Danio rerio: one gene and its partner. The protein of the gene in region 2 purifies or fractionates together with the protein of the main gene of each other region. This does not show direct contact. Links are inferred from orthologs where the notes say so. Each region holds a gene or a part of one and is shown on either strand. Other genes may lie near its edges.

Region 1 (3,488 bases), on a different chromosome or scaffold from region 2:
AAAAAAAGTCTCATTATTCTGGCATTTAGCTAGTGTAAATCATTTAGGTAATCCTAACGGACCTAAAATAGTAAACATTTAGTATGATTTACCTTTTTTTTTTTTTAAATGGTTATGTTCCTTTTTTTAAGAGTGTATGTAAACTTCTGGTTTCAACTGTATATTTACCAAGGCAAAGACACATTTCTCCAAGACACATTACACCAAGGCAAAGACACATTTACCATAAAATTATCATGGAATATGAAAAATAAAAGCAACAAATTATTCAGTTCTGTAGTATTTATTGTTAGTATTTATAGTAATCATTCTAATAGCAATCATATTTCAATGATTGATGATTTCAAGCTACGAATATCACACATCGACAGATCAAAACCGAGATGTGATCACAAACTGAGCAGTTGCGTTTAATATACTTTATATTTATATTAAAATAATACTTATATAATACTTCTATATATATATATATAATATAGGCGTAGCAACAGTAACTAAGGAGGGCGGGGCTTAGCGAAGGGTCAAATGTATAACTGTTAAGAAAACGCCTATTGGGAAAAAGTGGAGTGTTCCCTTAACTTTTGGAACTGAATTGAACCACTAGTGAACATCAACAAACCTTAATATCGGCTCCTGAAAGGTCGTCTTTGGCCAGGATAAGGTCGTCCAAGCTCACGTCCTCGGCCACAGTCATTCTGCTGGTATGGATCTGGAAAATCCTCCTCTTGGTTTTCTCATCTGGTAAGGGGAACTCAATCTTACGGTCAATTCGACCTTAGAGAGAAAGCAGAGAGAAACGCAGCTTTAGGCACATCTACAATTCACATGAGCTCTAAAGGCTGGGACACACAAAGTCTATAGTCATTAGGTCATTAGGTCCATATGTCGAGTCTCATCAGGTTAACATTGGATCGAGTTCAATACGTCAAATTGGCATTAGTCATTGGATGAAAAGAGCACTCTGACTTGTTTTCAGCAACAAATCAGATTGTAAGTTTAAAAACAGAAGTGACATAGCCAGTGACTTCCGCTACATTTCTCAAATATGTCATACCGGGTCTAATAAGCGCAGGGTCGAGGGTCTCTATTCTGTTAGTGGCCATGATGACCTTCACGTCTCCACGCGAGTCGAAGCCATCCAGCTGATTGAGCAGCTCCAGCATCGTCCTCTGAATCTCACGTTCACCTCCTGAGTTTGAGTCGTATCTGCAAACACAGACGCAGTCAGGGAATGTCAATGACAAATATATCTATGCAGCATTGATATCGCTGAAATCACATCGCTTTTCCTGCAATCACATCAGAAAAAAAGAGGTTACCTCTTTCAATTTTTTTATGAATACTGTCCTCTGTGTTTTCACCTACTAATAGCACGTGAATTCATACTCCACTCTAATAATTTCACTTTATACAAAATTATTTGGGTAAAAAACACTGGAACTCTGAGACATGCAAATGTTTTGAATCTGCCTGTTTGAAAATATTTTGGTTGACAAAACAGAAAATAAATTGTGTCTAAAATGTAACTCAATACTGTCACTGAAAGTAAATGGGTCACAGGATGTTTAGTGTTGATTTTAGTGGAGCAGGCTCATGTAATCTGTGGAGTCACTGCAAAGTTTAACCATAATAGAGTGTTTGTTGATTATAAGATGATTATTTGCATGTGTTTTAAGAGAGGTTAATACATTGCCACACTCGAAACTATAATGTTTGTAAATTTGACAAAGATTAACTATATTACTCAATTAATGAAGACTATACAGTGTGATTTAACAACTGATTAGTCAAATGTTGTACCAGAATACTGTAATGCTGTGTTCACACCAGATGTGGAACGTGCGGATAAATCACGATATTCGCGGGTAAAAAGACGCATGAACATTTGAGTTTACTCGCCTCATTCGCGTGTCAAATCCGCTTCATTCATGTGTCAAATTCACTTTTAGTCTGCCTGGTGACTGTAGCTTTGTTGCTAAATGGCTAACATGAATTTTATTGAGAAAATTACTGTGTTTATGTGCTTTATAAATGCTGAAAAACAGCGTTAATTTGTTTGGAGCAGTGTTTGAGTCCACTAGATGCTTTCAGTGGTGCACCCAGCTCTGTGAGCTCATAAACTCCTCCAGAAACGTAGCCTGGATGATTTAGCGGTGCTTCTGACTGCGCTGAGCCCAGTTTGATGAACTGTTGTCGGAGTAGGCAGGAGGATTTTCCGCTGGGACACTAACAACAGGCACTATGTCATAATCACATCCCCATAAGAGCAAGCTCTTGATTGGTTAACGCGGCGGGAATGCCTGCTGAAGTTAAGATTTTCAAATCGAGCGATTCGCGCGTTAAGTGAGTCAAATTCGGAAAACGCTCAATTGGCTTCATGTGTATCGCATCATTCACGCCGCCCCATTGCGCCGCGCCATTTGCACGTATTATGCTGCATAATGTTTATTCGCGTCTTTGCCTTCTTCCGAGTCTGGTGTGAACGCAGCATTAGACTCCTCCAAAAAACAAGAAAGCTCTGTTGATTTTATGTTACTTTGCTTTATTGTATTTATCTATGCTTATAATTAGTTATATATTTAGATGTACTAGCATCAAGCATGCTAACAATATAATTCAATTGCTAAAATTTACTGAAATCCTTCCTTATTTGCACTTTACCTGCTATGTGTCCTTTGTGTCCTTAGTATTTTCCAGAGGTGTGGACTCGAGTCATGTGACTTGGACTCGAGTCAGACTCGAGTCATGATTTTGATGACTTCAGACTCGACTTGACAAAATATGAAAAGACTTGCAACTCGACTTGGACTTGAACATAAATGACTCGGACTTTCACTTGGACTTGCGCCTATTGACTTGTAAAGACTTGCTACTTTCTATAAAAAGCCCAAAGATAAAAAGTATGTTGACACGGAGCGCTCTATCTCTGTGTGTGTGCGTGTGTGACAGAGCGCTCTATCTCTGTGTGTGTGCGTGTGTGACAAGAGAGCATGCACGCATACTTTCGACCACTAGCGCTTTGTGGCGCACTTCCGTGTTTTTGCACCAGCGGGAAATTTGAAGATGCCATTTTCATTCTGACTCGGAGAGTGAAATAAACACATCCGCGATCTGCTTCTTTTGTTTTATTCAGCGGATTTACAACATCTGTCAAAGGTAAGAGACTTTACTACTCGCAATGTGTTACTGTTGTGCAAAAGCATTGTTTTACTGTTGTGCATAAGTCAATGAACTTCAGTTTTTTTAACCAAACTTACCCTCTCGTGATTTATTTCACATAATTATGAATGAACATGGCTGTAATTTATGTTTTTGCACTTGGTCGTTTGTGTCAATGCGCATATTATGTTTTATTTTTGTGTTTTGCCCATCCTCTGACAGTATTTTCTAACTATTTAATTAGTAGTAATAATAATTACATGCCATAATAACTAGATATATATAATTTATTTTTAAAGCTCTTAAAACTGTGAAAAAAGTATTTTGTT
Region 2 (3,760 bases):
GTGCTGGGGAGACCACTCAATGTTCGATGCCAATAGTGGGTCGTCGAGTAAATAAATATAATGAATGAGAACACACAGGCATGTGCGTATAGACATATAATGTTCTGCTGTACAGTAACGTGTCATTTGTTTGTTTCGGTTGTCTTCATTTTAATAGTTCGTGATGATGTGTGATGGTGTGCTTTATCTGCCTTATTCCCGCTGAAGTGGGTGGGTTGTGTGACGTTTGATTTGGGGGATGTTCTGGGGGCGACGGTTACATGACGCGCTGCGAGCTACTAGCCTGACAGTGGAAACGCGACATGATTTAGGCCTCACTGCTCAACCTCCCGGACGATAGGCCGGCTTGATAAAAGCCCAGGGTCGCACTGGCCCGACAGTGGAAATGTGGCTATTGCAATATCAATGTTATGTAAAATAATGACCTATTTGACAGTGTTTTTTACTGAACATATCATATACCCAAGCATACCAAAACTGAAAACCAAACCAAAATCTGTATTTTTGCTCCGCTAGTCTTTACACTTAATTCCGAGCAGACCCAGACCTGCTTTAGTGCTACCTTGAATCTCTGTGTAAAGATGACTCAAGATCTTTTTTTTTAATTTTGTTTCCACTTTTCGAATTTTCCTAATGGGTATTAGACATTGCTACTGTTTTCAGTGGCACTCACCTTTCAGTTTCAACCCCAGGAGCTTTTGTCTTTCTGGCAGGACTCCTGTGAGCGATTTAATGGACTGTTTCAGATCCAGCACAGTGTCTTCCTCGGACAGCGTATTAATGGAGTACTCCTGCCCTCCCCACTTGATAATAACCGAAACTGACATGCTGGTGGACGAGCTGTGAAGGACAGTTTTCAGTTATTTGCACGTCAGCATGTCATAAACCACAAACCACCCTTGTGCACAATACATACATCGATATATACAGTTGAAGTCAGAATTATTTATATTGCAATGTATGATAATTTTGCAAATATTTGGTTCAAATGGTCTCATTTAACAGATTTTCCTTACATGCTTATTGAGATTTGGACACAAACTATGTACATTATTAAAATTTTACTGCTGGTTGAATTGAACTTGTTGAAGTAAATGTGAATATGTACATACTTCTCCCCTCTCTGTTGTAGTTTTACAAAAAAAAAAAAAAAAAGTTATTGAAAGAACAATTGCCAGTAAAGTCACTTAAGTTACCCAAACTATTTTCTGCTGTTCTTACGCTATTGTACAATACAATTGGTTGAGACAGAATTATTTGTAGTATTTTCGTAGCAATTTAAACTCCCCCTTCAATACACAACAAGTAACAAAAAGCTTTGGCTGCATATACTCTGTGTAAGAATGACTGAGTGTGTTTCTAATGCTCGGCCATACACACAACAACCACAGATTTATTTCAACAGCTGATGTGTGACACGATAAACGTGCTGATTTGCATTATCACTAGTATGCTTGAAATATAAACATCATGTCTGTTGTCCTAAGATCAATTATGTCAGGTTTCCACTTTTTTTTTCTTATACTTGAATGTTAAAAGGGCCCTCCTATGAATTGTCAGTCACTGAAATAGCCCCCCACCAATTTGAGTTTGAGACCCCTGCTCTAGGGACATCAGAGACTTATTTTAAATCTTGTAAAAAGTGGCATAACAGAAATTCAATAATCAAATAAAATGGCATAGACTTTATTGTATAAATAAGTAAACAATTAATCCTTGTTAACGTTGCAAACTTTATCATTTTTGCGTCTAAATGGTTTAAATACACTTGAAATAGCTCGGGATCCTTGGATGTGGACTATTTTAGTTTTGCACATTGAGATATCGATGAATGAATCAATATATTGTGCAGCCCTAATAATAAATGCTGCTGATATGGTATTAAAACATAATAAATACACACACTCACACTCACACACACACACACACACACACATATATATATATATATATATATATATATATATATATATATATATATATATATATATATATATATATATATATATGAAAATAAATGTATAGACTACCTTGGCAACACTACACCAACTTAAGCAACAGTAGAGGTCAACTGGTGGTCAATACACAAGACAAATGGGTCAGGTGCTACATATCTATACAAAAAAAAGCAAAAAAAACAACCTCATTTAAAAGCCTTTCATAAACAACTGTGTAGACTGTATAATATTACATTTGCAAATCTTTTCTGTCTACAAGTGTAAATAAAATAATTTATTTGTTTTTACCGAACATATTTTGTTAGAGATCTTGATGGATGGATGTGGAATGTTGATGCTTGAACAAGCATGTATGTATTAGCTACTTAGCTTTTTGAACTCATTAAGTTATTTTGCATGCTTAATGCATTAATTGGGTGTGATCTAGCTGTCGTAACGACGCTGTTAATTTCTCTAATCATTTAATCCTGAAACAATCTAAACCACGCTGAGAAGAAGAATAGGGAAAGGTTTCTCACTTACATAATAGGCAGTTCATTCAAAGCTCAGGCTGACTGCTTTGGGTACCACAAGATTTGCTTTGTTCTTCTTCTATCTGTTTATGACGGCCTGTTTACTGTGCTTACTGCCACCTCCCGGTTAAGAGTTTGTCGTGTAGTACTTTTTTATTTCTCCTTCAATGCAGTTGTTTTGTTTTCCTAAGTACTTATCATTGACAGGGTGCGGTTTTGTTTTTGTCGTGTTTTGAACTGAATATACAATTTGTGCAACTTAATAAATCGATTTTATTAGTTTCATTGTAAGCGGCGTCACCGAGTTCCTCATCCGACTCTGTGAATCGGTTCATTCAAACTGTTGATTTAAAGGAGCCAATTTCAAAATGACTCTGTTTAGTTTGTGTGCAACAGAATAGTGCTCGGCTTTGGGTTCATGAGTTTTTTTTATTTCTTAAGTTGCACAGATGTATTTCTAGGAATAGCCAACAATACATTTGAGTCAAAATTATAGATATTTTTTATTGTCAAAAATCAATAGATATTAAAATTGTAGTTACAAAAAAGTTTTGTAGTCCTGTAGGCTCACATGAAAAGAACTTACAATGATGTAATGTTACAGCAGTGACAAGATATTAGTGTTAATAATGTACATAAAAAAACAACAATACTAATACAACAACAATTGAGGAGTATCTAAAATGTTTTCAATTCTGCATATCTTGTTTTCATGAAAACAGATGCAAGACTAATAGACAGTGAAATCAAATAATAATAATCCCCCCCCCCACACACACACCACCCCTTATACATATAATATACTATATACTAATAACTCGCTTTAAGTATACAAAAATAAGAATAATTCATTATTTACATTAATTTTCAATATAACCAGCTTGTAATTATCAATTGTTATTTTATACCAGTGAATCAAATTTAAAATTACAAAAGAGCATTGTGGTGAGTCATCTTTAAAATTGTTATTATTATTTTTTATCTTTTTGGAGAGAGAAAGGAAAAAAAGTGTTTGTTGACTAGATTTTATTAGTAGAAAAATATGCCAATGTCTCTATTACACAACCGGTGAATCACATACAACTGTAAGCTGTTATATTAACCCACAAAAAAAGACCCCCCCCCCCCCCCCCCCCAAAAAAAAAAAAAAAAAAAAAAAAGATAAACGTACAAAAAGACAAAGGCACAAAACAGTGGTGGAAAGAGTACTGTAAAATCATACACAGGTAAAAGTTTCTCAGGTACCATTTCTTGCCCCAAAATATAGTGCAAATACAGTAAAAAGTATCT

Evidence for each region.
Region 1: the proteins of ublcp1 (region 2) and psmc1b purify together in Homo sapiens (affinity purification with mass spectrometry; 3 studies listed by BioGRID and IntAct, with this or other methods). This does not show direct contact. The link is inferred for Danio rerio from reciprocal best matches to the Homo sapiens genes UBLCP1 and PSMC1.

What each region holds. Positions count from the first base shown.
Region 1 is NC_133195.1:17,954,676-17,958,163, reverse strand, and holds part of psmc1b (proteasome 26S subunit, ATPase 1b), read right to left. Parts: intron 1,207-3,488; coding exon 1,055-1,206; intron 775-1,054; coding exon 620-774; intron 1-619.
Region 2 is NC_133196.1:39,013,866-39,017,625, forward strand, and holds the start of ublcp1 (ubiquitin-like domain-containing CTD phosphatase 1), read right to left. Parts: upstream 2,545-3,760; 5' UTR 2,481-2,544; exon of another isoform or gene 2,247-2,480; intron 2,115-2,246; exon of another isoform or gene 2,031-2,114; intron 841-2,030; 5' UTR 828-840; coding exon 674-827; intron 1-673. UniProt on the Homo sapiens protein: Dephosphorylates 26S nuclear proteasomes, thereby decreasing their proteolytic activity. Recruited to the 19S regulatory particle of the 26S proteasome through its interaction with 19S component PSMD2/RPN1.